Kluyveromyces lactis: one gene and its partners. The protein of the gene in region 1 interacts with the protein of each later gene in a pairwise test. Links are inferred from orthologs where the notes say so. Each region holds a gene or a part of one and is shown in the gene's direction. Other genes may lie near its edges.

Region 1 (12,019 bases):
AAAAGACAGAATACGTTGCGAACAGGAACTCCTGTTCCTGATACACTACAAATCGAATCCTTGTTGGTTATGTCTCTAACTCTAATTAAAAGCTTTGTAACGGATAATAAAGTATTCGTGATGAGATAGAAACTTACCTCAAAATTTTTCACTTTTCCAGTTATTTAAACTAAAAACCATAAAACAGAAAGAATAGTCAATCTAACCATGAGAGACTGGTCTGCCATTAGGGCACAAAATAAGTACACAAAGATTTCCTGAATCACGTGACCAAATATTATATAATCCGGGTAAATTCAGAATACGTTCATAGTGATACTTCTTGCAAAAAATTCCATTTGACGATATTCCTCTGATGGTATTGAAGCTGTTTGAAATTAGAGATCGCTTGAAAGATTTTGATATTAACAAAAATGAACAATGTAATTGCAATGACTTAAACATTTTAAACTATGGATATTGATATATATAAGGGTGGATATATCTATAACAAATCTTATTAAGATCAGAGTTATTTTATTATTTCTGTGAAGGGCAGTAGCAAAGCGGAGATATTGGTATTAGACGGTTTACCCTAAGAATCTCGTTAGGTGCTCTGGATATAATATCATGTTCAAGCAATTCAACTTGAGATGCCTGACGCCGCTTGCCAGCGGCGTCTCCTCAAGAGTTCAAGTTCCGTGGAATGTTTCGATGATAATGTCTTTGAACAATACTTCACTTGGTGGAATCAGATCTATGGCCAGCATCACTCCAACCGGGAATGAAGAACAATCTTCAGTTGACGATGTCAATGTCCATATGTTGAAAATCGTTCCTAATAACACAGATGTGGTAGCACTAGAGAAGCAAGACGAATTGTTAAGAAGAAGAAGAAAGTTGGCTAAGGAAGTTACACAAATGAAGAAATTGAAACCGGTTTCTCCAGGTTTGAGATGGTACCGTGCGCCAATTTATCCATATTTGCATAAGGGAAGACCTGTTAAATCTTTGACTCTTGCCAAGAGAGGAAATGGTGGTAGAAACCATAGTGGTAAGATCACGGTGAGACATCGTGGTGGTGGTCATAAAAGAAGATTGAGAACAGTCGATTTCAGTCGTTTCGAATCTGGTATGCAAACTGTGGAAAGAATCGAATACGATCCTGGTAGAAGTGCACATATTGCATTGATAAAACATAACGATACTGGTGCCCTAAGCTACATTTTAGCATGTGATGGGCTAAGAGCTGGGGATACCATCGAATCATACAGAAAAGGTATTCCACCATCATTTTTGAAAGAAATGGGTGGGAAGATCGATCCTGCCATCTTATCTGTTAGAACAGCTCAAAGAGGTAACTGTCTACCAATCTCTATGATCCCAATCGGATCCATCGTTCATAATATTGGTATCACTCCTACAGGTCCAGGTAAGTTCTGTCGTGCTGCTGGTTCTTACGCACGTATCTTATCCAAGATCCCAGAAAAGAATAAAGCTGTTGTCCGTCTACAAAGTGGTGAGCACCGTTACGTATCATTGGAAGCTGCAGCTACCATGGGTGTTGTCTCAAATATTGACCATCAAAACCGTTCTCTAGGTAAAGCTGGTAGATCTAGATGGTTGGGTATAAGACCAACTGTCAGAGGTGTGGCAATGAACAAATGTGACCATCCTCACGGTGGTGGTAGAGGTAAATCTAAGTCCAAAAAGTTGTCCATGTCTCCATGGGGTCAATTGGCCAAGGGTTACAAGACAAGAAGGGGTAAGCATCAAAACAAAATGAAGGTTAAAGATAGACCAAGAGGTAAGGCTGGTAGAAAGGCTAGACAATGATAAGCTTCCCCACAACTGATCCTATCTTAAATATCATCAGTTTTTGTAAACTTATTTCAATGACTTCCATCCTGTAAATATCGTAGAACTAGTTAATTTAAAGAAATAACATAACATCTGTTCAGTTACCAACTCTATTTTAAACAAAGTTTAGATTACTACATCCAGAGCATCATTTGGTCTCTTCTTCCAGCTTAAATTCCCAGTTCCCAAGTTCGAATAAGGAACCAACGACTAACCTTACATGCTGGGCCATGTGATCAAATGAAAGTCTGTCTAAAGTGTCCATCGTACTGTGAATGTATTTGTTAGATTTGTTGAACTCACTTTCAATGACAAAGGAAGCGGGGAATCCATTCTTCGTTGCACTTCCGTGATCACTACATGCATATCCACATTCCGTTTCCACGTAAGGAATATCCAAGAATCTTCTTATAATCAACTTAATAAATTCAGTTAGACCTGGCGTGGTATAATCAGTAATGACACCAACATGCTCATTTTCTGGATCTTCAACATATCCGGTCATATCTTGTTGCAACATTGCGACGACTTTTTTGTTCTCCTCTGCATACCTGGTGAAGACATCCAAAGAACCTAGTAAACCACCTTCTTCTGCACTATAGAAATGGAACTCAATGGTGTTATTGGGTCTGTAACCTGTTGTAGAGAGATGTTCAACGTATAATCTCAATGCCTCTAGATTGGTTACGGTACCAGATCCATCGTCATCAGCTCCTGGCGCAGCAAGTATCGATGGCAATAAAAGGTTCATAGAGTCCTGATGCGATCCCATTACGACAATGTTCTCGGGAGTTTGTGCTCCTTTAATCGATACGATGATGGAGAATTGCTTCCAACCTTTATGCTGAACATGTTCAATGACAACGTCATTGTTCAATGGACTAGTGATGTTAGATAATTTCTCGGAGAGCCAAACAGCAGATTCGTACCCCGTGTCAGATTTGTAATAGCGAGTGTAGAAACTTGTGAATTTTGCCAAATTATCATGCATTGAAACCTTATCAACTCCCTTGGACAACGAATTTACAATTTCGTCGCATTGAGTTTCCTTCGGATAACGGTACACTGGCACAACAGCCTTTTCATCTTTGGACTTAAGTAATTTGGGAAAATTGGTAATATCCATGAATTGCACTCCTTTCCTCTTGAGAGACCATTTCTCGGTCTCTCGTACCATAATAGTCTTACCTTCCTCGATCTCAAGAACATGTAAACTATCAAATGGCAAAGCTGCCACAGAAGCTGCCAACAAGAACCACCCAAACTTCATAACTAGCCAATCTGATATTTGCTACGGAGTTGAAGCAAAGTATACACCGGTAGATGCTTGTACTGTCCCTTTTAATACAGTATTTATCCACTTGTTTCTGAAGGGAAAAAGGGTTTTTTTGACATCTAAGTAGAACTAACGTTGTTTAGAAGTTTAGTGTACATATTATGGAAAATGATATTCATTGATATACAATAATGGAGAAAGGGAGAAACCAAAGATCAAAAGATGACATCTTCCTCTTGTTCGGTAATCAGAGCTTCTACTTGTGGGCCAGATTGTTCTTCTTGTTCTTGTGTGTCGGCAGCTTCTACGCCAGTTTTGGTCGCTTCTTGAGAATCTGGTTTACCTTCAGACTCAGCATTTGCTTCATCTAATTTCTTCTGCTTCATTTCAGCATCCAACTGAGCAGTTTGAATCTGTTTCTTTTCTTGCACTTTCTTCAATCTATAAAACTCTTCTCTATCCAATTCGTCTAGCTCGGAGTTGATATAAGCAATGGTGTTTTCCGTTCTTGGAATGATCACATGTTCAATGGCATTCACTCTACGGTTGGTAACTTTGATAACTTCGTCCAAGATAATGAAAGCCGTTTGTAACGAAGCCAATTCAACTAGTGTTTCAACAGCCCTTGAGTAAATTTCCTTAGCACGCTGAACTTGTTGACCACCACGACCTAGACCTGTCATTTTGAAGTCGTTGATGTTGGAGTCGATGAATGATTCAAATTGAGGCAAGTACACACCACTCACGTTTTCTTGCGTGGCCCTAACTTTGAATCTTGCATTGGCAACATTCTCTTGAACTTGGTACCCTATATTTTCACCTGTAGCATATGTGACCTCCGCCAAAGAGAACGCAGCTGTTTGCATCACTCTGCCCATCTTCTGCTTTGAATCATCTATTCTTTTAGTGATATCACGGAATCTCTTCGTTAATGCTTCAGACTTTCTCTTCAACAAAGAATAACCCTGATTAGCACCCTTTAACTTAGTCTTCATAAGACCCAAGGTCATACGAGTGGGGAAAACCTGTTCCCTATTACTAGACATTTTTCGATAAAATTCAAGATGCTAGGAGTGAAGTCGTTCCTTCCTTGCTGTAATATGTTATCAGTACGCTTAGTACCAAACTCACCTGATTGGTACAGTAGAAAAACAGTTCTTTTCAAAGAAAAAGCAAACGATTACAAGTAAATGTGTTCCAGGTTGGATACTTGTCAGTGCCAGCCTAATTGCAACGTTCTGCCCCAGCTGATATATGCCCCCCTTTTCTACCTTTCTTTCGTCAAATGATTGAATGTCTTATATTTCAGATATTTTGAAAATTGGTTAATTTCGAAATTTAGATATTATTTCATTTACGGTGATATGTCAAAACGTTTAATGAGATGAGTTACAATTAAAGCTCCATCTAAGGTAAAGTTAGTGCACTGTTTTTCCACCAGGTACTGCGAGAGACATATGTTTCGATGGAAATAGATAAATTTGTCAAGGAGGAAGATATTCCGTTTGAGTATGGTGTTGTTAGAGAAAGAGACAATGCTGTATCATGGTCGAGATATTTGGCAACTAAAAGATCAGCAGGCGATGAGTTGAATTTAGATTGGCTATACGAACGTTGTTTGAAGGAGATCAAGGACGACTGGCATCTATGGAAAGAGTTCTTGAAATGGAGGATAGAATTATTGAACGATTGTGATATTTTCAGGCACAAAGATGAATACAATAAGATATCGTTACTATTCGAACAGTGCTTAACATCATGTGGCAAAGTTGGGGATGCATGGATTATGTATATGGAATGGGTAATACAGTTTAAGGATTTGAAGAGGATTAGAGAACTGCTTGGAAAAGCGCTACGATCAATGTCGTGGGAGTACCATGAAGCAATATGGCGTGTTGTCATCGATTTCATTATCAATGAATTGTTAATAGACAACAAGAGGTATGAACTTTCTTTAGAGGATTCCATCTACTATTTTGTTCACGGAGAGCATTCGACGAATTTTGATACAGACCTCTGGTCTTCCTCAATCCTACAGAGATATTCACTTATTTGTGACGACATAGAGCCTTTATTGATCTACATTTTTAAGACTCATGATTGGAGCACGATCGTTCGAGTATTTGAAAAACATCTATCACCTAATTTAAAGCCATCTCAGACAAGTTTATTTGAACTTTACGTTAGTTACATCACTTCAATGATTCTTGTGGATAATTCAGCAGGGGTTGCTGCGGTAGTGGACCAATGTATCGAATTATTCCCTTTCAAGAAGGGTGAACTTAAGACATATTTGATATTTAACCTGATACGTCAAGGAAAAATAACGGAAGCTGAGCTGTACTTAGAGAAAGTTATAAGCGAAACTAAAGACATTATCGAATTTTCTGTATTATATGATTTTTGGATTCGTATGGAGGAGCTATTGACCCAAGAATTAATTCAAAAGATGAAAGACGATAATTCAGAAAAGCAACGGCTGTTCGCAAATATAAGACTACATGCCGACACTCTAACCTCATTAATAAAAAACCACACTATTAGATTAAACGACTTAGAATTGAGGCGAGAACCCAACAACATCAAATTGTGGCTAGAACGAGTGAAGCTTTTTGATACCATCTCTGATAAAGCTAAAGTTTATGCAGATGCTGTTCTTACCGTGGACTATAGACTTCAGACTACTCCAGGGCTATTAGGAGAATTATGGTGTCAATATTGCAGACTTTTTGAAGAGGATATTGAAAAATCCGAGGTCTTGCTGGACAAAGCCACTAACGTCCCTTTCAAATTTTTAGTAGATCTTGAAAATGTTTGGTTATATTGGTGTGAATACAGACTAAAAAGAAGCATTGACGATGCCATAAAAGTTTTGTCCGTTGTATTAGAAATACCAGATAATCATGAATTACTCCTACAAAAATTTGAGAAAGGAGAATCGCCAGCACAAGCAGCAATTTTCTCATCTAAACGCTTATGGGCAATGTACCTTGACTTATTGGAGGTCAAAGGAAACTATGGTACAGCTGTAAATGCGTATGAAACAGCAATACTCATCAAGGCAGCAACACCAGCCATGTTTATTAATTATGCGTTATTAAATGAATCTTCTGGCCATCAAGCAGAAGCTTTGGCTGTTTTCGAAAGGAGTGTTGAGATTTTTCCTCCAAGCGTATCGAAGTCTATTTGGGATATATATCTGGATGTGGCACTCAAAGCTGATATCACTAAAGAGCAAAAAAGAGATATTTTTGAATCTGCTATTAAGCTTGCAGCTTCAGGAGTGGCATGTGTTTCGTTCTTTGAAAAGTACAGCGACTTTGAGTTAAACCTTGGTTTCCACGAGAGAAGTGTCGAGATTTTGCACAAAGGAGCCAAGAATATTTCGGATCTTGAAAGTAAATGTACTTTATGGGAAGAATGCATCAATAGAAGTGAAAAACAATTGGACGTCAATCACACCAGAAAACTATATGAAGAATGTATAGAAACATTGCCCAATTCTAAAGCAATCAAGTTTCTACTTCCATTTGCTATCTTAGAAGAATCGCGTAATGAGGTTGCTCGTTGTAGAGCATTGTTAGACTACGGGAGCAAATTACTGAAGCCCGCACAGAATGAAGAACTTTGGGATTTCTGGAGGAATTTCGAAACTATGCACGGTACAAAAGACTCGTTCAAGAACATGCTAAAAGCACGTAGGTTCCTAGAGGACACAATGAAAGTAAATACAGAGGAAGTATCCAGACATGCAGATAGCATCGAATTTAGGGCGTCAACTGCGAAAATTAGTGGAAGCGGACCACCAAGCGCAGAAGATAAAGGATACTCAAATACGGCTGAAATTGATTTAGGTCTATAAAATGGATATATATTGATTAAAGTTGATAATGGCATATCGATCAATCTCTTATGTTTTGTTTTGGAAGATGTCGTATTGTCTTTCTTTGATGACGTGTAACATACAAAAACACTAGTATCTTACTGTTTTTCGACCCAATCAGTTGAACTCATGTGGGATAATCTACTTAGGGCTCTTGCAAATGCAAACCGTTCTTCATCTAATGCGAAAATCTGTGCTTTTTTGGCAATATCCTTAGAAAATCCGTGTTTACTGACCAATTCATCCTCTACTTCAGGTTCATCTTCATGTTTCATTTGATCTGCTGGTTTAAGCTCATAGTCGTTGACAATATCTTCTGGTTCCACGAATAGTGAGGTGAAGTCATCTGCACCAGTGGTAGCTAATTTACCACCGTTATCGTAAACTGCATCCAAGAATGTAATGAACCGTCTAACTTCGTCACGTACGTATATGGTTAAGTATGGCAAATCTGTGACAACAAAGGACTTGAATGAGTTAGCCAAAGTTAAATAGTCACCAGCAGCCAAAGGTTCTCCACATAATTGTTTAAAGGTGAATTGTGCTACTCTCCCAGGTGTACATTTAGGAACGAGTAATTGTCTACCCCAGATAGTCAATGGATAGTTATATACAATGTCATGGCCATTTTCTGACTTACTGGGACGATGCAGTTGGGCAAAATAACTATACCATTGCTGTACGTGTAATTTCCTCGCCAATTCACACTCTTTTGAAAAATAGGATAAATTATGACTTGGATAGTAATAAACAGATGAAATTGGTCTTGGAATCTTACGATAATCGGTAGGAGAATCCAACAATACCACTTCGGTTCTTTCCTTTATCAGTTCAATACATGGAACAAACGATTCTCTTTGAACACCATTGATGTAAAGATCATCTGGCTTTCTGTTACTCGTTGCAAAGAGTACAACACCGTACTCTTTGGAAAGCAATGTAGTAATTAACCTCCGTAAAATCATGGCATCTGCCACGTCCGTCACTTGAAACTCGTCGAAACAAAGCACTCTAGAAGTGTTTGCAATCTCTGCCGCTAGAAATGGGATTGGGTCGATATCTCTTCCCTTAGCTTCACCCAAAGCATCGAAATTTTGTTCGGATATAATGTCATGAGATCTTTTATGCACATACTGCATGAACTGATGGAAATGTATACGTTTCTTTGACAAAGCTGGAGGAACTGTCAAATAGAACAACTCCATCAACATCGTCTTTCCACATCCTACATCACCGTATAAATATATACCCTTAGGAACACCCTCCGTCGAATACTTCTCTTTCCTTGCAAATAATTTCCCAAGAAACCCTGTTTTCCAGCCGACTTGATCTAGCACGCTTGGTGGTTGTACTGGTTCCGGATTGTACGAAACCAAAGAGTCGTGCAAATGACCTAAGGATTTGATGATACTCCGCTGATACGGATCATCTCTTAATTTTCCGAGCTTTACCAACTCGTCATATTTCGACAACGGTGTTTCCGTAACATCCGCAGATTGAGAAACCCACCGCTGTGCCAATACTTGTTGGAAAAGTCCAAAGGTATACCCTGGTCTTTCAACAAGACCGCTGCCAACTCTACTGACAAGAACCTTCTTACAACCCTGTGAAAATATCAGCATCGCTTGTCCTTGTACATGACCTTTTCCCAATTGCAATAGATTGTATCTACCTTAATTAACGATAGAGTAACTAGTGTATTATTTATGGACAAATAGTAATTCGGAAGTGCAGCTCTAATACAAAACGTTTCCAATTGCTAAGAAGTGAATATCTAACATTCACCATGGCCTTTACTTAAATACTTGTTAGTGGGGCATCGGTTTGAAGTGATAGTTTCTCAATGTCCCCCACTCTGAGGCCGCTTTAATTTTTTTTCTCCGATTTCGGGTTCTTATTCTACAGTAGAAACATGCTGCTGATCTCTATCTATTAAAGGTCTTCCTCCCCACCCCTCCCTGTCGCTATCTGAATACCCTGAATTCGACTTGTAAAGCTATGACTGACAGCTTTGTTTGCTTTGGTTGGTGAAAACTAGAGATCATCAATTGTTCGAGAATGACTGTTAGCATGCATGTCGATATTTACCAATAGATACTCCGCTCTTGCGTACATAATAACGTAACGAACATACGTTTTTAAGAAACAGTGTGGGGTACCAGACTTGCAAGTGCCTCTAGCAACTGGGAATAGTTTGTACAATGCATGGCTCTCACAGTACCTTGACTTTTCTTAGGTCCGATACTTTTGTTTTATGTTGTGTAGAGTTTATTACCTCTTTTCTACTAAATGTTTAAATCCTAATTTAACTTGTGAGATAGCTTAAGGCTTCCACACGATATCATGAATTAGAGAGATTAGAACAGAATATACAGTTGCGGTAGCACTAGACATTGCAAGATTTTAGGGTTTGATATCTTGGGGCAACTAAATTTGTTTCCCAGCATTCCTGATTATTGATGGTGGTTGAGAATAACATTGCAGAGTTGGCGAATTTAACGCTAGATCATCGAATGGATCCTAAAAACGAAGCCCAGTTTATAGACATCACAGATCATTTAAAGGCCCTAGCAGCGAAGTTGGCACCAGAGACAGTGGTCAAAGAAGCTACGTTCAATCTGTTCGAAGGGACTTATGCATTGGAAGTATGCAACGTGAAATTAGATACAAGCCTTATTGAGTTATGCCCTGAAGAGTTGGAATTCGACTGCAATGTACCATACGGGGACTCAAATAATGGAGAAAGGCTTGATTATGTCACTGCGGTTTGTGATCGATTATGTCGCTCTTTGATGAATTGGCTTCATGATTACCAAACTCTACCCACTACGGTGCTAAGTTGTCGATACGTCGAATTTCTTATGGAATTATACACTTCGAACCCGGTTTCATCGTTACAATCGTTCCAAGGATTACGCACGCGCGACCCCTTGTATGATCAAGTCTTGTGCAGCTTTGTGATAGGTGTTTGTTCATTCATAAAGTTCACTTCCAAAGTTTTGAAAGATGGTGGTGTTTACGAGGAGGAAGACTTGAACTGTAACGTTATGAGTTTGGATATGCTCTCTGGCGTGGACACAAAAGAAGTAATAGATTTATTGAACTCTTCGTTGCAACTGTTAGTTCAGTCATACTCAGAATCTACGCATCTACAAAAACTTGTTGATTTAGTCAAACATTTGTTGCACTTACCCAATTATCATTATCCCTCATGTCAGTCTTCGGTTTCTTCAGACTTACTACCTTTGCAAAAATCACTAGATATTATTTCTTCATTGGTACAAGACGATTATACTACTAAGCAGCATTCATACCCTCCTGGTTGTTTTTCCAAGGGCATTCAAAAGAGGCGTGATAATAACTTCCCACCAAAGGATCTCTTTGAACCTAAGGGAGACGAATATGTCTCTTATACTGAATTCATGAGAGATATCATAGCGGCATTATCGGTAAAAGATTGCAATACAGCGTTCGAAATCAGACAATATGTTTGGTTTTTCAACCGAATTAGACAAAGGACAGTCATGGCTCGTGCGTTACTGCAATCATATTTAATTAGAGAAGACACCATCTTAGACAAGTTTCGGTTTAACACGTTCAAGGATATGCACCTTTACGAGTTCTCATTAGCAGGAACAGCATTGTACGATGTAATATCCAGCCGCGAGCAAACAACAGATCGCGATAATATGATAGAAGCCTTGAATGAACTCTCATATTGCCTCCTTCGTTGGTATCAAAATATGCCACAAAATTCATGTAGGCATCGGCAAGGATTTAATAGACTATTACTCGACTGGGACTCCGTTCAAGCGCAATTTGAGCAATATGAAACCCAATGGCAATCAATGGGAATTGTAGATAGCATTACAAACATGGGGAATATCCCATTGATGCCAGTTTCAACATGGATTTACACTACAAAGTTGCTTATGATGATAGAATTCACTTTAGAAGGATTTCATTTGGAAGTTTACAAGCCTTGGGAATCCTTTACTCAGTACTGGTTCTGTTATTACTTGTCGAGTCACTTGGAATCAAACTTGAAAAGATTGCACGAGTTTCTGTTGCAGAAGATCAGTTACATTTTGAATTACAATAAGAGAATAAAGAAACTCAAGGCCGGCGAAAAGAAAGAGAATGCTAAAGCGCGCTATAGACATTTAACAGATAATGTTTTACCTCAACTAAGACTAAACGAGAGAACTGTCAATTTCTTTTTCATGAAATGCACAATATTTAAGTCTCTCTCCCTGGCTCAAGTATTCCAATTTGCACTACTTAAATCTTTCAACGTAATAGATTCTAAGAATGATGTGTCTACCCGATTCAGTTCCGATAGACTCATACATAAACTTAGATTTAAGACCTTTTCCTCAATTGGAATACCCGAGATCCCCACATTTGAACAATTCCAAAAGTCATTAAACGATTTTGTCATTGAACCACCATCAATTCATTCCAAGATACCCAAACTTCTGAACTTTATGAATACTGAATTAGAATCTGCCAAGAGTGCACTATCTACTATCATACAAACCATAGAGACTGGAGAAACAGATGATTCTCCAGTTTCTACCGGCACAAAACACGTGAAAGAACCGGCGTTACAATGGTATAAATCAATGCTTAACTCAACTGTTGCATTGAGTGTCAATGCATCCGTGTTAAAGACGAAATTGTCGGAAGATTTGAAGTCACATGACTTGCATGCCACTTACGACGTTGAACTCAAATTCACACCTAACGGTTGCTACTATTTCCCATTGTTGACAATTTCACCTAAGAAAGCAAGAAATGCTTTACCACACACCACATAATGGTGATATTGCATGTATATAAACGGCCATATAGAAATATCAGTGTACATCTGAATCGGTAATTGTATGAACCCTAATTTACCTGTGTGATAGTGACCGTGAAGGGTTCACAGACGAAAATAAACAAGAAAACATGAGACTGTGCAACATCAGTGCCTCCATATATTTTGTATAATATGTATGGGTGTATTTTCATTCCCC
Region 2 (10,452 bases), on another chromosome or scaffold:
GATAAAGTTCGCTTATTTGAAAATGTTGAGCTATTTTCCGATTTGAATGGTGCCCTTGAATGGTGTGAAAACGAGTTCCTCATGAGATACAAGCGTATTAGAACTAAAACTAGAGCCAGAAAGCTAGCACAGTTGAAGAAATCCCAAAACAGAATGAGCAAACTTCCTGTAAACACACCGCGGAATCATCAGTTTGTTTCTGAAGTGAGGAATATCTATACGGAAGAGATGGAAATTCAAAAGCTAAGTAACGAGCTCAAAGAGCGTCAACAATTCTTACCTATTTTCTTAATGTCTATCAGGAAATTCAGAAATGCTATCCAATCTCCAAATGAATTGAAAAGAACAAATGAGCTTGATCTTTGGAAACGACTAATATCCTATTTCCAACAGAAAAAATTCCCACCAAACACTGAAATCAGACACAGAAACAACATGTTTATCGTTGTGGAGTCCGGTGTTCTAAACCTAACTCATCATCTCATTCAAGGCGAATTCTATGAAACAATGTCGCCAAAAACAGCATATGGCGTTATAAGCAACGTGAACAGCGATCCTCTGGCAGTATCAATTACAACTGACACCGAATGTGTTCTTAGATACATAGATGCTGAATCACTTGCCGACTTGAAATTAACCGACCCCGAATTGTTCACAGAGTTACTTATTCTCGTAATGGCGATTCACAGAGATCGCTTCCGTGAACTTCTTGGTTATTCCTTAATCAGCATGTGACACGTCCCCACAATGCAACCTAAAAAAGGACCTTCTTTCAGTCTTATTTATAGATTCATAGATACACCTAATCCTAATTTTCTTTGACCTTTACCTGAACCTATTTACGTCCCTTGCTGCACCTTGCATCCTACGTTATGCGTTATTTGCTGCTGGAAGATCAAATTGAACTAAGGCATTCTTTTAACAAATAAAAAAAAAACCTCTTTCTAGGACTTAATGCATACAAATAATGTACGCACATGGTTATTTCAAAAGAAAGAAGCATACCTACTATCACAAAGACAAAACATAGCCATCACAGCATGTCATCACTTGTACAAAAGCAGTCTTCTCCTCTGTCTAAAATATCTACCACTCAGGAAGTGGAAGATTACGTGAAAGATAACGTCCAAAAAGGTGAGACCGATAGTATCGATTCTTTAAAAGCAACTAATTTAGACTTGTCGAAAAAAGCCATTCCGGGGTTTAATCAGCCAATTGCAGAAGGTGCAGAGTTCCCAGAAGAATATGAAATCGAAACCAGAACTGGACTTGTTAAAGTTGCTACCTTACATCAGCTAAATAGATTGGATACCAGAGTAACAACGCATTCAAGCAAGAAGAGTACAAAGGAAAAAAATACTTCCTGTGGGTATGACAACGATAAGTTACAGAAATGTATCGAACGAAACCAAAAGGAAATCGATAGCTATCACAAGAAATCTGGATTCAAAAAATTCATTGGTAAGCTTTTCGGATAAGATGCAACCTGTATAATTCTAACAGTCGGACTCCGCTTTCATTTATGTCTTTTCTCTTTTTCGTATACACCTTATATAATGCCACTAATACACTAATCCGTCCCTTTAAAAATAAAACCATTTGATGAACGGCTTGGCTTATGAACTGAAGAAATATAAGTGTTGATCGAAGGGTGCACTGGGAGAGGTGCGTTAAGACCCAAATATAAACTCTGCGAATGGTAGCACCAGGACATCATTACTAGAGACACAATGTGTATTTTATTTGCGACTAGAGCTCATCCAGATTATAAGCTCATACTGCTATCGAATCGTGATGAATTCTTTGAACGGAAGACACACGCTACTTGCTGGAATCATGATGGTTTTATATTATCTCCATATGACATGGCTATAGAGAAGAAGGGTCAAGGCTATGGTACGTGGCTAGGGATTAATCGACGCGGAAGAATAGCTGTCATATTAAATTTGAAGATCGATTCACCACTGGATTCTGAATCTGTATTGGTGAATGGAGAACCAAGATCAAGAGGTATAGTTCCCTTGCAGTTTTTGCAACAAGAAGATAACGCACCTTTTGATAATTGGGACTCTTGGGAAAAATTCAATGGTCAGCATGGGAACTTGAGACGAACTGGCCCGTTCACGTTGTTTTATGGCGATGCGAAGTCGGACGAGTATAACGTAATCGACTACTTAAAGCATTCCACTAATCCGTTTGAAAAGATGGAGCATATGGTGATATCCAACGACATTTTCCACTGTGCTGTAGGTGAACACACAAGTAGATGGAATAAGACGGAATATGGGTACGTTTTACTTGATGCGTTGGCGAAAAATACTACGGGCATTGCCAAGGAAGAACTATTGCAGAAATGTTTTGAACTTTTATCAAACCATACGTTTAATGAGGGCGAAGATGTGGATTCTGTGACGACTTCCAGTATTTATGTACCGCCTTTAAGAATTACTAAAGGTGCAGACGCTATTGGAACTTCATTGCCAATAGGCGATTACTATGGAACTAGATCCCAGATTGTCATACTTGTCGACAAAGATAACAGAGTTACGTACGAGGAGCATGTGATTTATGAAAGTGATGAGGATTGTGAAACATACTCTTTCATGGATCCAAAAGAGGTAATTCAGTTCCAGTTCAATATGGAAAGCTGATGAAATCATTTTACGAAAAGTTCTAATGTTTATGATTATACTACACACTTATTAGCATTCTAAATAGTCCACTGTGTAAGCTGAAATAGGTTGTGTAGAAGACGAATTTGTTGATGAATTAGATTTATTGTTAACAACCGATGAATGCTTGGTGTAATGCTCTGCCAAATGCAAAAGTTCTATGTTTTGTGACACTACAGAAACCTGCGCATCGACAAAAGAGGAAAGTTTCTCTAAATATTCATCGTCTAACGCAAACAAACCGATGGAATCTATTATTAAACTCATAAGTTGGAAGATTTGTGGCTTATTAAGTTTCAAGTCCGAATCTGCCTTATTCGAGTTCAAAATCATATCCAAAAAGTTTGTGATATCCATCTTCTCAATTTTTCTTATACCTGCTTTGATTGATTCTTTCTTGTAATCTTGTAGCACTCTTAGCGTAATATCAAAACAGAGCTCTGCATTCGTTATATTGAAAAGCTCGGTTAACAAATCGTCAAGTGGAACATTCGGACAAGTAACAATAGCTTGTTTGAAAAGTCTTGGGTTATTTTTCAACTTGGTTAATAAGCCCTTAGCGTGAACCGGTGGGAATAAAGGGTGTGTTAGAAGGTATGTCAATGCTTTTGGATATTCATCCTTGAAATTTAGAAACAAGCAATCGATTATTTGAGTGAGTAAATCAGAATCATTTAAAAATCTGTCATTGTCTGTATAATATTCCTTGTCTAAGGAAAGCATCTTAAAAAATATAGAATCAAAGTTCTCTATTTTTTTACAGATATGGAGTTGTTTTATAATGCGTTCATAGTCTGGAGATGGCAATTCCACATCGTCGTCCTCATTGCTTTCTTCAAAGAGTTTCTGTAGTTTCTGCTTTTGTTTAACCATGAACCCTTTACCCATCGCATCTTTTAAGGTACCGGTACCAACATCAATGTTAATAACATCCAAGTAACTCGTAGGGTTAGCACCGTTTTTAGTTGTAACATCTAATGCTATAGTTTTTCTATTGTCTTCAGAGTTTTCTTGAACAACTGCAGTAGAGAGTAGTTGAATAGCTTTGATGTTCTGTAAATCCTTTTGGAATAGTATAGCATTGTATAACAAATCCACAAGATATATGGTATTATCAGCAGTCAACAATACACGGTTTGAAGAAACTGGTTTGATGGATACAACTGCATCCTTGGAAATGAAAGGTAGCTGAATGCTAGTTTGTAGTTGCAAATGTGGTAACTGATAGATTGATAATTCATTTGAGTTCTTTAAAACATATAATTTCCCGAACTCAAAACACAACTTTGCATTCTCTAAAGTGTAATTTTCTAGTATGATAGAATTTAGTTCAATACATGAGACGGACTCACTCCTAACTTGGAAAAGTTTGTAACAGATTTTCTCATCACTTAGTTGGCATAACACGAAAAAGAAATCGTTTCCCTGCCCATCTTGGAAGAATTGAACAAATCTGATATCATCATAAGATATATCAATAGTATTTGAAAGTTTCAATTCATAATCAAATGTTTGAATCAGTCCATTCCTTAAGATAACGAGAACTTTCTCTGCTTTAGAATAGATCTTAATGCTAACGACTTCAGATTTTAGTTTATATTTGAACTGAGATGTGATTTCAGCATTTGAAGATGACACGGCATCTTGAATCATCGGCTTAGTAGCCAAGTGTAAATGTGATACCTTTCTAGCTTCCAATCCGTAACACCAGACTTCTGTATTGGCTGCATCTTCTACCACGTCACATGCAGTAACAATGTTCGTAGAGGGGATTGGCAAGTTAAAAACCAGCTTCGGGGTTGGATTAATCAAGTATTGTGATATACTGGAACCTGATATACCAATATTCACTTTATTGGCTGATGGTGAAAGATTATCAACAACTTGTAAGTAGTCTGTTTGATTCGCATAATTATTCAATGATGGAATCTTAGGTAGAGCAGAGAGCCTAAAAGGCTGTGAGATGGATGCCATTTTCTCAATATCTTTCGATAAATAATATCAAAGCAAACTGTATTGAACACAGGATATTTGATACTTCACCTCGTCCTTTCAAGAGCAGCGGTTGAGTGTATCTTTGCACTTACAGCTCATCGCATCTCATCGCATCTCATCTCTTCTTCTGAGTACTTCAAATTTTTCAAACTTTACTTTTGGGAGTCAGTCCGGGTAATATATAGTGTCGAAATGCAAACAGAAACAAGATGAGATGCGATGAATATACTCAGATATCTTCCAGGTGACAGAAAGTGTAGCCCTTATTTGAATGCCACAAATCACATTGTAAACTGGACACAGGCTGATAATAAATATTCGAAGATGAATGATCTAATGGAAATTGAAAAAAAGTTGAAGAGTTTGCGGAAACAAAAAGTGGAAGTAAGTATAAGGAATAAGAAGGCCATAATAGCTGAAGAGAAGAAAAACTCTGAAAGAAGAGTATACAGTATGGCTGACGATGGCGAAGATAAAGCTAGAAGTAACAAAAGCGAACCAGAAGATCCGATAAAATTGGCAAACTACTCAATACGCGAATATGAAAAATGGGAAGCTAAGACACAGAATTCAAGACATAATAAAAGCGTGATGGGGGACTTCCAAACTATAGCAAAGAACAGCTACAAGAAGGAAGTAGATGCGCTTCCGAAGGATATATCACATCCGTTGAAAGGTGGAATAACTGAGGATGGGAAGGTTCAAGTAGAAGATAATCCTGAACTAGTAGAAAAAATGGTGAATGATTTGAACGAACGATCAAAGAAAAGGTATATGGTACGGAAACAAAAACTAGATAAACAAAATAAGATCAATTTGGATGATGGATTTATTAATGACAAGAATAAACGGTTTAATGCAAAATTGAATAGCGAGTTCAAATAGGCATGGGAAAATAGGTATATTGGGCATTTACATATGAGATATTTACGATTGATTATGAATAATTATTTTATTTTAACGATATATAGAGGTGGATTTCTTCATTTGTCTTCAGAATCTAGTGAGTTAAGGACTTCTAGATCTTCTTCTAAGCTCTTGACACATTGCTTGTAATGGATCAATTGGAAATTATGGAACAACTTAACCAAAGAAATGATCTCAGAACTATCTGTAAGTTCTCCCAAGAATTCCACAGTTTCTGAGGTTGCAGACACGAACTGATCTTCTAATCGTTCGAAAAGCTTAGAATCAGGATCTTCTTCTGTCTTTGCCATATCAACTGGTTCCTCATTGGTTTTCTTTTCGGGGGTTTCAGGGGTTTCAGTTGCGACCTTTTTTTCAGCTTCCTCAGAGGATGCTACAACCTCTTTTTCCTGCAGCTTCAATTTAATTTCATGACGTAAAGTATCAAAGTTCAATCTTGCATCTTGAACCTTAGCGCGCAATTCGTGACCTTTCTTGAAATCAGTTTCAATAAGTTTAGATAGTTTGGCGTTGAACTCTTTAACCATCAAACTATCCATTTCAGCCTTGCTTTGATCAATTGATAGTTGACATTTGGTCCATGATTCGAATGCTTTGATCAAATTATCTACGTCTTCATCTTCGTCTTCATCTTCATCTGCTTCTGCTTCTAGTTCTGGTTCTGCCTTAGTTTCCTCAGCTGGTTTTTGATCAGCACCTTCTTGAGACTCTTCTTGGTTTGTTCTTGTTTCTTCTGCCTTCAATTGTTTCAGAATCAGAGCAGAATCAGTAGCAGCTTTTGACAAGGCCTGGGCAAATGATCTTGGCAATAACCCATTCTCTGCAGTTTCCTTCACTTCAGGGGAAACTTCCGCCTTTTTCTTACTGAAAGAGAAAATGGAATCCTTATTCCCACTCCACCAATCGTTAAATGACTCTGTTAAATTGGGTGGGTAATCATATCCTTCTACTTCAAAAGTTTTGGTTACCAATAACAATCTCTTACAAATCTTTTCTAAGGCATCACTTTTTTGTTCCAAAAACTTATACTGAATTGGTAGTTGACTGATATCATGCACTGTTCCCAAAGTTTCTTGTAGTTGGTGTCTACGCTTCAAAATGGACAAACGTGTTTCAGGATCATCCAAGTGGATCTTTTCAATGGCAGAGGAAAATTGTTCCTGAGTACGCTGTGCGGCATTACTGATTGAATCAGTTATGTTATTCAATGATAGTTTACTAAACATAATTCGTTAACTTAATTAAGGCACTTCTGAATATTAACAAACTGTATTAAATTTTGATTCTGAATTGTAACTTCTTTTTTTATTAAGATTATAGGCAATACCAATCTTCCTTTAAACCTCGATAAGTTTATTATTTGCCTGGCTCACGTCCACCAGATAGATGCGGTTCTGCGTGTACTTATCTTTGTCTGTGCCTTGATTTTAGTTCTCTATTTTTTTAATTAATTTCATCAAAATCAAATCGCGCCTCATTAATATTACATTAATGAGACGCGGAAGTATAATATGAGTATAAATAACTATAAATATAATCATTATTAGAATTGATACAATTAATAGAATTATTAACCCCCCCTCGCCATTCCTAGATCTAAAGAGACACAACTTGCTATTTGTAGAAAGAAAGCAGCTGCGCTGTTTGATAGATTTAAAGTTAGAGGTTGTCGATAATGATTAATAAGGATAAAATTGTTGATGGAGTTGTTTTTAAAGACGAAGATGATCCTGAAGAAACAGTTGTTTTTAATTTCCATACTTGGGTAGAAATGCTTAAAGCAATTATCGTTAAGTATGCAAATAAAAAAGAAGATGAGGCTGAATTAATGGTTTTATCGTCTTCATTAGTATGTAAGCCCATTGATAGTTATCTGGCAGTATGTCTTCGTAGCCATGAACTTGAGTATCATTGGGCAATGCTGATAGCTTACGGTGAACAGTTTTGGTTGAAAGGAGTAAGCTCTAAACAACCAGATGATTATTTAATATTGGACGAGAGTTATAGAAAAGACCACAATCTAGCTGAAGAAAGTTTTGTATTTAACGATTAATGGATTGAAAGCTGGAAAAGTAGTAATATTTTCCAGCTTTTTAATTTGTTGTTACGTTTATATGTTAACCTACTTAACCTGAATAACCACCAGAGCGGATAGAACACTGACTGATAATAGATGAATTGATGTTACATTGGAAATCACACCAATATTGATAAAATCCTCGAATTAGTTCAGAATCGCAGTTATTTACTGATTCATTATTCCCATCAGATCCAGCCAAGAATCAAGACCCTGCCGAAAAGCTGGGGTAAACGTTTGATTGTGGCCCACGGCTGGCTATGGGCGATTTCTACGTGCGGCAGCAGCGCGCCAGCGCGCCGCTGATCAAAGATCCATTACTGCTGCAGGTTACCGACAATGAAAGCCAGCTAGCCTCGATGCTGGCACACGAAATCTCACACGTGACCAAGCGCAACGCACCGCTGACCTGGGTAGGCACTCGGCTCCATTTTGCTGGCTATAACCAACCTGACTGCCGGCATAGCAGCGCTCAGCGGTACCGTCGCCGGTACCCAGCAAACGGATCATCAGTTTTGGCCAGGTCAAAGAATAGGAGGCCGATTGCATCGGCCTGTAGGTGCTGGAGCGCGCCGGGTTTGATCCACAGGGATGCCCGACTTCCTGCAAGAGCTTTCCGATCAATCGCGCTACACCTCCAAGGTTGATCTGCGTAAACTGGGTTGACAACAGGAAAAAGGTTGAATGCCTGGCAATGACTTAAGTATCCTTTATTTCAATCTCTTTTTTTTTGAAATTTAGAGATCTTTTCAACATGGAAAATTTTATTCAATAACATGAATATTAAGCAAGCAAGAGAAGGAAAACAACCAAGTCGCTCGGGCCTTTCTACGCCTGTTAACGAGAGATTGAATAAATTAAAACACATCAGAAGAAATGTTTTCCCGCAGCTGCGCAAGATTCTTTTCTACCACAAGATATGTCTGCAACAGTCTTGACCAAAAACTTCTGAAAGAAGGTATGTCGGAAGCTAATAGCAAGCCCACAATCAAGAAGCTAGAATCCAAGTTAATCAAAAACTTTCAGCCGGGCTCCGTTTACAATCCATTTGATTTCTCCTTAGAAAGAATACATTTAGATAAGAAGTTTGGGGTACGTCCTGGATCGTTTGACCCATTCAACAAATTGAAGATCAATCCACTTGATTTATACACCAACCCAGAGTTCTTGTCAAGATTTGTGACATCAACGGGTAAAATATTACACAGAGATGTAACTGGTTTATCGGCTAAGAACCAGCGTCGTCTAACAAAGGCTATTAAGAGATGCCAAGCAATAGGTTTGATGTCTAAGGTTCACAAAGACATATCGGTGCTTCCTCAAAGAACTGCAAACAGAAGCTAATCATGACATGTGATAACTTCTTGTATATATGAATATATGTTTCTCAATAAATAGGATTATATCTGTAAATAGCGCTAACAGTATAAACACGTTGCAATGGAAAGCTCCGGGACTGAATGATAGTACAGTGTTCTCATTTGTCGAATAGTCTATCCGATGGACCGTGCAATCGTATATAAACATCAGTACCCCATCCCCACAATGACTGAATGTCAAGTGTACCATTGAACAACTCTAGGTACGCTTTGCACATTGGAAGTCCGAATCCCATACCTGCAACGTTTTGGACTTCTTGACCAGGTAAAACATAATCGCTCATACCGCTGTCCTTCTCTTCCTTCACCGTTGTGGAAAAAGAATAATCAAAGACTCGGTCTTCTACCTGTGGATCTATACCGCCTCCGAAGTCTCTGATTCTGATCTCAAGTTGATCGTCGTTTTTCACTATTGTTACTTCCACATCTTTGTCAACGTTGTTTTCAATATGTGCTCTCGAGCTGTTCTTAAGCAATTCTTGAAGGACGTATTCTAGATCCGTAGGTATATATGAAAATTTCACATCAGACCCTTCCATAATTTTCACTGGAACGGTCTTATCGTATTTGATAAATGTCAAATCGTTAACAAATTCGTTCGTTCTTGTAACTAAGTCAGATATATGCAAATCTTTATGGATGACGCCAATGACCTCATCGGAAGAAGTCTGTTCCAAGAGCTTCAAATAGTTGGTAGTCAACAACTTCATCAATATTCTGTCATGTAAATGCTTATTCAAAAACTTGAATATGTTTTCTGGATCATAAAAACGGCTCACTTCCTGCAACCCATTTGATAACGTAAGTAACGTATCCTGGTGATCATTCAAGAATTCCTCTGTAAGATTTTGAATTTTATCTGTGTCATACAGATCGTATGGATACTCAATGCTTAGAAGTGATTCTAAAGTTTTTAAATAAAGCCGATTAGATTGTTCAATATTTGGGTTCACTAAAGCGATATAAGGTAATTCTTGTAGAGATGCCAATCTATGGCATGTCAACGTCAATAACAGGTTCAACGTCTTAATCGTGAGGAAATACTTCTCATTATCCTGAAGCGGGCCACGATATTGCAGAAGAAATGCCCAATCGATCTTTGGAATCTCATACGAAGAATAATCTTGGATCAAATGCTGGATATTTGATCGAATATGATAGAGTTCTTGGAAATTCAACTCGGTCATTTCTTTGCTCCGTTTTCGATGATTATTCCTACGATGAAGGCGGTTATGGGAAGATACAGTCTTTTCATCATTTTTAATATGTGTATTGAATAATGGGGACCGATGTACTGAAAAGAACCGGCATCTGTTCCTAGCCGTTATACTTGCCTGCTTCCTTAGAATGCCGCAAACCGTCATAGTTCGCTACAAATATCAGGTAAAGTATCGATTTCGTC
Region 3 (11,125 bases), on another chromosome or scaffold:
GCAATCAGTATCAAGTCTTGAAGATACTTCCACTGCTCGGAATGGTATGAGATCCAATTCTCTTCAATCAGGTTCTCTGAATACACAAAGAATTGTACAGAATGCATATTCAAAAGCATTACTCTCGTTAAATGAGAAAAGAGGCCCAAGACTAACACCAACAAAGCTGAATAATTCTATAAGATCAAAATCACCTTCTCCAACTGTGTCACGGCAGAATTCCGTAAAACAGAGGAACAAAGTGAACATATTGAAGCTAAATGAAGTAGACGAAGATGACATCAATGAGAAATTCCACGATCTGAAGCTGGACGATGATACTCTAATCGTCTCTCAGGAAGTGTTATCTCCAGAAGGTAGTGAAACTCCTAAGATCATAGTTTCTGTTGCCGATGACAATCAGTCGTCTTCAAACAACGACAGCGAAGTTGAAGGTATTGTGAAAAAGGTGAGATTTATAGGGGTTCCGCCTATGTCACAAGATGAAAACCCTGAGCCTAAAAGACGCGGATGGTACAAGAAGCCTGCCGTGTTGCATTATCCACCTCCACCTGCACAGCACTCACTTCAAAAATTCAGAACAACTCAAGAGGGTCTTGCATTTCGCACAAGTTTGATCTCCAGAGACCAAGGTTCTGATAAAAAGTTCGGTTTTGACAGCATGTACTCATCAGGTCAAGGGGCGGATACTAAAATAGTGGGTAAAATCAAGGATAAACTGTTTAAATAGAAAGAATCTTTTAATTTCTATTTGCAGTGAACTTATTTCCATTATAATATCAACTTTTAACAATGTATTTGAAATTTAGAGAAAATATTTAACTATTGAACATTCCCATAATTTATAAAGTAAAGTAGGTAAGGCTTGAAACATAGGAACAAACCTGTTATAACACCACTAGAACGGTCTGACATGTCATTCAGGACACTCAGCTCATTGCTACCGAGTCCGCAAAACTCAGAAGTCTCCGAGTCTTCAGCATTTTCTAGACAATCTAAGGAAAACATAAAGGATACAATAATATTAGACAAGCTACGACCGGAGAATCTACCAGTGGCCTCAATATCTGACTTTGTACCTCTTAGACAACGTGATATATCACTAGAGGCACCGTTCCCATCGACATCACAGATTAATCAAACATATGTAAAGACTAAGGCGTTTCTAGACTCGCTGCTAACGAAAAAGAGCTCTCTACAATTATCGTCTATTGCGAACAAGGACATCGTAAAAAGAGAAGCAATAAGCTCTGTAAAATCTGGTACTCAACGTTCAGTTAAAGTAATAGAACATAAGAAGGATCCTTTACAACCGGTAACACACAGGAAAAGGAAGGTCGTTGTACCATCGGAAGAAATTCAGGCGCCTATACTTCATAAGTCGGATGACCCTAGTATTAAACCTACAAAGGAAGAGCTTGATAAATGGAGAATTCCATCCGCCATTTCGAACTGGAAGAATCCTAACGGATTTGCTATTTCTTTGGATAATAGAGTTGCTATTGAATCAATAAAGACGGACTGCCCAGATAATGATAAGAAGGACAATTTCCTTCTGCTATCTGAGGCACTAGACGAAGCAGAAAGAGAAGCAAGACAGAGAATCAACATTAAGCAAGAGGCGTACAAGGAGTTAGAGAAGGAAGAAACTTTAAAAAAAGAACAAAGGTTACGTCACTTAGCTGAACGTGCTAGACAGGATAGGGAAAATAGGCGACAGTACGAAAATGAAGATCATTATGTTAGGGAAATGGAGCGTAATCAACGTAGGAGAGCAGAACGCGAATTGGAACGGTCGAATAAAATGAGCACAGCAGAAAAGTTAAGACGATTGGCGTACCAACAAGGAAGAGATGTTTCTGATAAAGTTGTTTTAAATGCTGCAAAAGCCACCGAGACCCCAGATCTTCAGTACGATTCCCGCTTGTTCAAGAAAGCGGCATCATCTGTGGCATCATCTTCAAATCAAATTTTCGACCATCCATTGTTCAATAATAGCCAGATTGACAACATTTACAGGCCAACTACTGGTTCTAACTTAGAAAACGAAGATATTGTTGATCGACTCTCAAATAAGAAAGGAAGAACTGGACCGGTAGAGTTCTCCGCTGCTGATGATGGCAAAAATGCGGAACAGAATGAGGAAGATAACGAGCATGCCAGAGAATACGGTCTTCAAGTGCGTAAGAAGCCTCATACTTCTTAATTGTGCGATACCGATATACTGATATAATTGTATGTAATAATATTCAAGCACTACTAATTGAATGAAATCAGCGAATCAGTCATTATTTTCATCGTCAGTGATTGAAGAAAACTCATCATTCCTATCATCTGTCAGAAGTATTCGGTTCAAACGGTGACTTCTTCTGATAGCAAATAACTCAACTTTTTTAATAGTTCCGCTAACTTTTATTGGATTCATTATGATGGGCCCAACAGATTCAATCTGGTTCATCAAAGCAAGTGCCATTATTACGTACTGATGGTCATCATGGCCACATCGTATTATACCGGTTGATGTTCTATTCGAAAAGTATTTGATCTGTAACAAAGCCGTAGCCTTTCCCAAGCCATAGTCCCCGAAATTCACCTGTAATTGTTTTCGTAGTTCCTGCAAAATATTTCTCGGACTGATAGTATTTGGTGATACTTTGTGATGCGTGGTTAAAATGTCCTTCTTGGTTATATCTGGCACTGTTTCGTACTCATCATCTACATCTGGATATAGTACTTCGAAAAGAATGTATCTGCTCTTTAAACGAACCATTGGATTTCTTCTATTTTGCCTATTATGACAGCAAGTTTTATTAATAGTAGGATGAAACCCCCGAATAAACGTTGTTGCACAACCGTCCTTTATCAAAATCTTGATTCCTTCACAGTTGATCTCCATCATAACTCTAAATCTTGTAATGTGAAGCATCTCTCTTTTTTTTTTTTTTTTTTTTTTTTTTGGTTTGTCGCATTCAAGTCACAGAAGAAGAACGAGAATACGCCAAGCATGTCCAATATTTTATGCATTATTGCCGCATCACCAACCTTAACTAACAGATTGTGTAAATATCAGATAATTCATTCTCTATATAACAAAAGGCGTAGCATATCTTTCAAGTAATATCATATATAGTTGAGTTGAAAATCAGAGTTCTCATGCATATATTTACAAAACTTTGAGACTTGAGATTAACTTCAAGCCAATCGTAGCCAAAGAGTTTATATTAAAGCGGGTGAAATTAGATAGTCAGTCTCTCTTTTAGCAAGGCTTCAACTTCCGCAACAGCGGAGTCAATACCGTTTGGTTTGTCACCCATACCTTGGAAGACATTTCCCTTACCACCAGCTTTACCACCGATGCTAGAGGATACTGTTTTGGCTAAACTAGAACCATCAACACCTTGAGCAATTGCTGCGTCAGATATGTAGCATCCGTGAGCAACCTTTCCGTCTGGTTCATTACAAGTGAATAAGTAGATAGACTTGTCCTTCGAGTTTGTTTTAATGTGATTGATAGCTTCAGTGATGGCCTTAGCATTAGTTGGAATGTCAATATGCTTGACGTAGAAAGAAGACTCTTTGTTAGCATCAAAGTGATGTTTGACGTCGTCCAGAGTTTGTTTAATTTCCTTCTTAGCTCTAGATTTCAGTTCATCTTTAACTTCCTTTTCAATTTTGTTGAATTTATCCTTCAAGTCAGTTTTGGTGATAACGGAAATAGTTAGTTGGCCTAGTCTGACACCTAGCTCCTTTAGCTTTTGGGCCTTTAAAGGGGAGAAAGGCAGTTTTTCAACTGCAGTTAATTCGCCATCAAATTCAGTAGCAATTCTTTGTACTTCATAGGCTTCAGGTCCAGAAACCGCAACAATTCTTCTGATACCTTTGGCAATACCACTTTCTTCAACAATGACGAATTCTTTGATGTCACTAGTCTTAGCAACATGGGTACCACCACAGAATTCAATGGAGTACTTTTGCCATTCTTCACTAGTTGGGTTCTCTAGGACTTCTTCAACGGCCTTACCAATAGAAACAACACGAACTGGATCCGGGTAAGTTTCACCGAAGACAGCACGGACAGAAGAGATAGTCTTAGCCAAATCTAAGGCAACTTCCTTGTAATACACAGTTAAGTTGTCCCTGATCTTTTCATTGGAGAGTTTTTCAACCTCCACTAATTCCTCATAAGATAAGGCTCTCTTGTGCGAGAAATCGAATCTCAACTTTTCCGGTGCAACTAAGGAACCCTTTTGATCGACATCATTACCCAACACTTCTTTCAGAGCAAAGTTCAAGATATGTGTACCAGTGTGATTATTTCTTAGGGGATGACGACGTAGCTCTTCGTAAGAAGCAATTATACTGTCACCAATAGATAGTTTACCGTCACCAAGAGAACCGGTATGGAAAACATAACCGTTGTAGGCTTGAACATTGTCGACGTTGAATTCTGCTTCACCATCGATAACCAACTTACCTGTATCGAACTCTTGACCACCTTGTTCGGCATAAAAACAAGTTTTGTCTAGAATAACACCATATTGCTTACCAATTTCGGTCATAGAGTCAACGAATTTCTCACCATCATATATTCTCAAAATAGTGGCTTCAACGTTTTCGGTCCCATACTTAGATGAATCATCAGTCTTAGCGACATTATCACCGTTAAGTTGAGACAATTCATGAACGTTTAATCTGATCAAATCAGATGCACCCTTCTTACCACCTTTCTTAGAAGCCTCGTATGATTCCTGTTTAGCTTTCTCAAAACCGATTGTATCGATCTTTAAGCCCTGTTCTTCAGCCATCAATTCAGTCAAATCGACAGGGAAACCATAAGTATCGTATAGTCTCCAGACTTGTTTACCATCCAAAGTCTTGTCTGCTTTCTTCAAAGCATCTTCAGCATACTTTTCAAACAATTTTTCACCACGGTCTAAAGTTTTTGCGAAAGAAGCTTCTTCTTCGTCCAAAATTTCGAACAAATAAGATGGGTCTCTAGCGACTTCTGGGAACATATCCTTAACTTGTTCGATTAAAGTGACAGACAATTGTGAAAAAAAGTTTCCTATAGGGTAGTTCATGTACTTTCTAGCGTAACGTGCACCACGTCTCAAAATTCTTCTCAAAACGTAACCTCTACCTTCGTTGTTAGGAACACCACCATCAGCCAAGGCGAAAGTTAACGTACGAACATGATCAGCCAAGACTCTGTAAGCGGTGTCAATACCATCCGTATCCTCAGCACCAAATTTACCAGTGTATGATCTGACCCCAGTGATTTCTTGGATACGGTTGAACAAAGGTTCGAAAACGTCGGTGTCGTAATTAGATCTAACATCGTGCAAAACGGACACCAATCTTTCGAAACCCATACCAGTATCGACATGTTTAGCCGGTAGAGCTCTTAGAGAACGATCTTGTTCTCTGTTGAATTGAATAAAAACGTTATTCCAAATTTCCAACACATCTGGATCGTCTTGATTAACAAGATGAGCAGCGTTTCTACCACCAATTCTGTCATAATGAACTTCAGAACAAGGACCACATGGACCTTGTTCACCCATTTCCCAAAAGTTATCCTTGGCATTACCTGGCAAGATATGATCATCCTTGACGCCAACGGATTTCCACAAATCACGAGCTTCGAAGTCTGGTTCCAAACCCAATTTTTCGTCACCTTCGAAATAAGTGACGTACAATCTATCACCTGGAATACCGTAGACTTTGGTCAACAATTCCCAAGAGTATTCAATAGCTTCCTTCTTGAAATAGTCACCGAACGACCAGTTACCCAACATTTCAAAGAAAGTGTGGTGGTAGGAGTCTCTACCAACATCTTCCAAATCATTATGCTTACCACCGGCTCTGATACACTTTTGAGAGTTCGTAGCTCTCTTCAACTTGTAAAAATCACTGGATGGGTCAACTGTTCCCAAAAAGATTGGCTTATACTGATTCATACCAGCATTGGCAAACAATAAAGTTGGATCATCGAATGGAATCACGGGTGAAGATGGAACAAAAGTATGGCCCTTAGACTTGAAATAGTCCAAAAATGTGGAACGAACGTTGGCAGCCGTCCACTTAGACTTATCACCAATCGTCATCCTAGCTGTAAAACTGGAAAATAACCTGCAATTAACGCGAAACACCTTTCCTAAGGACGTCTTCGAAAGCAAATTCTAATCAAGAACGGGAAGATTTAATCAAACCGCTAAAAACGATGAGTAATGATTAAATTAACGACTTGAAACAACGGGAAAAAAGTTCAGAAATCCCCCTAGTTCTCTGAATATGCCGCCTAAGGTTTTCAATAACTTTCGAATACAACAAACGAAAGAGCAGTAGTAGCCTCTGAACCTGAGTCCAAGCCTTCTACTCATCCGTTTTTATGTATAAGTTAATTGTTCAAAAATTCCAGAATATCTTCAAATCACTTTTTGATATTTTTCTCAACGCTTTCCGTTTCACAGATAGATAGAGCCAATGAAGAAAGAAACTAGGAGTCACGTGAGAAATACACTCACGTGACTCTTCATTCGAAAGTGGCTGAAGCTACCTTGCCAGTGGATCTGATAGACATGCGTAAAATCCCATAGTACTAGCTTAGGGAGTAGCATTATAGTAATGGTGAGGTTTACAAATTCTATAACATGTGTAGGACTTTAACATGCTTCATATTTCCAGCTTAAAAGTTTTTTATTGGCAGAAGATCCCGCAAGATTTTTAAGGTTTATATTTGCCTTCTATTAAGATCAGAATTCGAGATGAAAGAGAGTATTTAGATCAGCACAATTTGACAGTTTGTGTTCCAACAAGATTGAGTGAACGAGTTTCCTGATCTAAAACGGTGCAAAACCACGATGGTCTTGTTTAGGTTACGAATTGTGTTTTTGCTGTTAACTGTCCTGCACATAACGCAAGCATTTAATGAAGGAATTGGTAAGAGATGGCTTTCAGCGTCCCTTGTTGATTACGATGCATTGTCTACCGACCAATGGATGCAGTTGTATAGAAAAATAACGTTAAGTGATGAAGAAGAGGATGAAGAAGATGAAGATGACGATGAAGGAATTGAGGAATCTATAAGTTCAGCTTCGGCTGAGAAAGTACAACAAGTCGAAGGCTTGTCCGGTGCCATTTCAAAATATGTACAGATTGCACCAATTGATGATGAATTCAAAGAAACTTGCTTTGTTTTGAATGGCAAAATATACTCTAAGAGCGATGACTCATTTTATTTCAAGACCTCTGAATTGGATGCTCAAGCTCTTGTTCCAGATTTCGATGTGTTAAAAGATAGAGAGATTGCAATCGGAACTAATGCTTCTGCTCCAATTGTGGTACTTTACGGTTGTGAAACAGATTTAGAGTTTGCTGATTTCAACAGAAATCTTTATAATGAGGCTAAGTTTGGTAAGATTAGAATGACTTGGAGACCGACCTGTATCATAGGTGATACACCAGAATATGCATTGAGTGCCACATTATCGGACAAAAACTGGGACCAAAAGGCAAATGTTCACCTTGTAATCGATGATTCTGATCTAAAAATTAAGGATCCAGTCAAATTGAAATACTTGGATCAAAAGGAACTAGAAGATTTGGATATGAAATTCACCGCGTTATTGTTGGAGAAATTCAATGAAGATCATGATTTCGATTCTTTCTTTGAATATTTCAAGTCGTTGTCCTACAATTTTCCTGCAGTGGCACCAGTCATTGCTTCTAAAGACAACATTGATACAACACCAGCAAAGAATATTGTTAAAGACTTCAATAAGAGAAAAATCTCTCATGAATTACTTGGCTTGTACATCAACGGCCAACAGTGGAGATTGTCAGAATTAGATGAAACTACTTTACCTGCTATCCTCGCTAAGGAATGGTCTAGGGTTAATGATTTAAAAGAAAAACTAAGTAAGTTCCCCGGTGCTGAGTTAGAGAACTTTTTGAAATATTTCACGGTTGGCTACTCATATACGGCTTACTTTGACAAAAATCGTTACGATTTCTATCGTACTCCAGGTTTCTCTGAAGCTGTAGTTTTCTTCAATAATTTCGAGAAGGATGAGCTATATAAGGACCTGCCTGAAGACAATATGGCGTTTTTGGAACCATCTGATTTCGAACCAATTCCTAGCATCAAGCAGAATTGGAATGAGCTCATCTTTTTTATTAACTTTGACGATATGACACAATTCAAAGATGACGGTGCTGTAGGATCATTGTTACAAGCAATCGATCAGATGGAAACTGGATATCCTATCAGGTTGGGCTTAATTCCATTTTCTTCCTCTGGATCGAACTCTGTTGTCGATATGATTTATAAATTGAAGTCGGAATCTGACAAGCCTCTGCAGTCGATAATAGATTACTTAAGAACTCTTATTGGACACTCTGAAAAAATTCAACCTCAGACAAAACACAAAGGCAGTGCGTATGATGAATACCTTGAGAGATTCAAAATAGCAGATACTTGCATAGCAATGAATGGTGTACTTTTACCATTCCAAGCTAAAGCATGGAAGATTCATACTTCAAGGATATTATCCGCCGATATCGAGTATTTGAAGTCAGAATTGCAGGCCTTGGGTGATTCATCTAACCTATCAGTAAGGCAACTTCTTCACCATAGGTCCTTGACATTGAAAAATCCGGTATACATACCTAACCGTATGCTGGATGAAACCTTCACCAGAGTTAACAACCGCGCTCTACATGTACTCGGTAGTCGCACGATAATCTTTTCTGATCCGAATCAAAAGACTTCACCCATTCATACTATCACTTTAGTCGATGATTTCAACTCTTATAGCGCTGTTCAGAAGATACGAGCCCTACTAAGGAACAATCACAAAAGTGTTAGTTTCAGACTAGTTCACGTTGGTGATTTGTCAAAGAGTTGGGATAATTTTAAAATGGAATTCAGCACAGGGAAGTTGTCAGGTAAAATAGCCTCTAAGACGACTGTTAATTTCATTGTTGATCCCTTTTTGAATGTTTTAAGCTCTTGGTTGCCGGATATTTCTATTAAAGCTCTTCGTAAACCATTTGCAGTAATCAATGGTAAATTTTTCAATACGGATGACGATTTGTATTCTGTTGAATTATGGCACAACATTTTGGTTCATCATTCTTCGCGCACCCTTGATGTATTGAAGACACTACATCACATCGGGGCGTTGGACGAAAACATAATGAACCCATCTGCTATCGAGGAACTTACTGCTGCTGTTATCAAATATGTACATCATGGTTACCTTGTATTGAATAACGGAATACCTTACACTACAGAATCCTCAATGCCTCGAGTGAGTCTTTCTGAGTTAGAAGAATACACTATCACTAGCCGCTCTGATCAATCTGTAATCAACGTCACTCTATTGCTAGATCCTGTTGAAGAAAGGACACAGCGGTTGTTATATTTGTCAAGTTTATTGAAAGACTTGCCATTTGTAAAAACAGAGGTTGCATTGGTACCGACAGCCAATCTAACATTGAACCCAGTGCATAGATTCTACAATGCTTCAACCGGGATATCAGATAATGGATTCTTATCAGAATTTGATTATCCTCATAACATCAACCCAGATGACAAATCAATAATTATTGAAGCCCATGTATTCGATGAAGGTGACGATGTGTCAATTGACATTATTGATGGTCTGGCCGGTGTATGCTTGCAGCTAATGGACAACGCAGGAAATGTTATCGATAAAGGTCTTTCGATGAAATCATTTGGATATGTCCAATTATCATTACCTAGCTTGCAAAAGGGATTGAAGTTGGAAAACTGTGATTCAAGTTACGAGATTACAGCATTGTCGACAATGGCAGAAGCAAATTATATTGAAGTAGAATCCTTTGATGTTGATAACTCATTGCCTACCCAAATTCATGTCAAAGTGAGAAAGACTACTGCGGAAATTATGAACGAAAAAGACGACAGAGTGAATGTAATGGTTGTCGTGCATGATGGACAAGAAAGTGTGGCCGTTAAAAGAATTGAAAGAGTCAAGAAAGAAATTGGCGACAAAGCAAAATTTTATATTTTAGCTCAGAGACCTAAGTTAATTGTCCGAGAAATGCCAGCTTCAGTTGACTATCATTTGTTAACGTATACTTGGCCATTATGGTTGAGACCACAGCGGTTCTCAGCAAAAGAGCTTGAGGCGAAATCTATTTTGCTGTTAGACACAATGGTTCCAAAAAACGTTGACTACTTAGTGGTACTTTCTTTAACTGATGATTCAAGTGACACTATTCCATGGAACGATATTGCTTCATTCTCTGATGCTGTGTTCTACTTGAAACCGGCAAAAACAAAAGAAGGTTCGTACTGGAACTTCGGATACTGGAAAAAGTATTTACAGAAATATGACCTACCATTCTACGATCTATCGTCATCATACATTATTAACATGAAAAAATGGAGAGAGATAGATGCTGGAACGAGTTTAAGATTACATTATCATCTCCTTTCTAAAAGTTTCATTTCATTAAACAACTTCAGAGCAGACCTTGTGAATAGTATCCAGCTCAAGGTGCCAATTGCACCTTTGGAAGAACATACTGATGAGCTATTTGAACAAGACGAATTATGACCTCCAAGTTCAACTCCATTTCGTACAATGCAAACTCTCTTGACAGGTTTATATTATTCGAATTATTTCATAATTGATAACATTCTCTGTGTAGATTTATGAAATAAGTTACCATAGATACCAATTCATCATAATTAAGATATCAAAGCCAGGACTTGATTGAGTAGTTTAGTCACTAAAAACGTATCATCATTCATTTACTATCCATTCACTATTTATATGAGTATACTATGCATTAACACCAGTGATTAATTCCCGAAAAAAATAAAACGAACGGTGAAAAATAACCAACATGAATAAAATGTATATGCTAAGTTATTCGACTCAGCGGTATAAAATAAGGTTTAGAAATTTAGTTACGTAGCTGGAAACGAACTGTTGGTAGGGTATACAAAGAAGATATCGCCTTTGCCACAAATTTACCTATACAATTTGCGCTTCACAATAGCCTTTTTTCTGGTTGTATCGTTTGATTTTATTAGTGAATGGATATTAATGGTAAACTTCGAGAAGCATAC

The links.
Region 2: the proteins of SYF1 (region 1) and SYF2 interact in binary tests that used the Saccharomyces cerevisiae proteins (3 or more experiments, as listed by UniProt). The link is inferred for Kluyveromyces lactis from reciprocal best matches to the Saccharomyces cerevisiae genes SYF1 and SYF2.
Region 3: the proteins of SYF1 (region 1) and PRP45 interact in binary tests that used the Saccharomyces cerevisiae proteins (3 or more experiments, as listed by UniProt). The link is inferred for Kluyveromyces lactis from reciprocal best matches to the Saccharomyces cerevisiae genes SYF1 and PRP45.

The regions. Positions count from the first base shown.
Region 1 is NC_006037.1:173,416-185,434, reverse strand, and holds SYF1 (mRNA splicing protein SYF1), read left to right. Parts: upstream 1-4,580; coding exon 4,581-6,977; downstream 6,978-12,019. Other genes in the region: RML2 (mitochondrial 54S ribosomal protein uL2m), read left to right, coding at 610-1,815; KLLA0_A02013g (putative aminopeptidase), read right to left, coding at 1,988-3,109; VMA8 (H(+)-transporting V1 sector ATPase subunit D), read right to left, coding at 3,331-4,161; AFG1 (Afg1p), read right to left, coding at 7,097-8,620; MAK10 (Mak10p), read left to right, coding at 9,458-11,818. UniProt on the Saccharomyces cerevisiae protein: Involved in pre-mRNA splicing and cell cycle control.
Region 2 is NC_006041.1:408,377-418,828, reverse strand, and holds SYF2 (Syf2p), read left to right. Parts: upstream 1-4,886; coding exon 4,887-5,552; downstream 5,553-10,452. Other genes in the region: VSB1 (Vsb1p), read left to right, coding at 1-735; KLLA0_E04709g (uncharacterized protein), read left to right, coding at 978-1,478; KLLA0_E04687g (uncharacterized protein), read left to right, coding at 1,731-2,651; UTP8 (Utp8p), read right to left, coding at 2,703-4,646; KLLA0_E04621g (uncharacterized protein), read right to left, coding at 5,651-6,820; KLLA0_E04599g (uncharacterized protein), read left to right, coding at 7,270-7,647; KLLA0_E04577g (uncharacterized protein), read left to right, coding at 7,932-8,318; RSM18 (mitochondrial 37S ribosomal protein bS18m), read left to right, coding at 8,548-9,015; protein kinase PKP1, read right to left, coding at 9,149-10,414.
Region 3 is NC_006042.1:215,830-226,954, reverse strand, and holds PRP45 (mRNA splicing protein PRP45), read left to right. Parts: upstream 1-913; coding exon 914-2,206; downstream 2,207-11,125. Other genes in the region: protein phosphatase regulator GIP4, read left to right, coding at 1-730; RNA-binding protein POP5, read right to left, coding at 2,282-2,926; ALA1 (alanine--tRNA ligase), read right to left, coding at 3,237-6,107; KRE5 (Kre5p), read left to right, coding at 6,864-10,607; TEA1 (Tea1p), read left to right, coding at 11,103-11,125. UniProt on the Saccharomyces cerevisiae protein: Involved in pre-mRNA splicing. Associated with the spliceosome throughout the splicing reactions, until after the second catalytic step.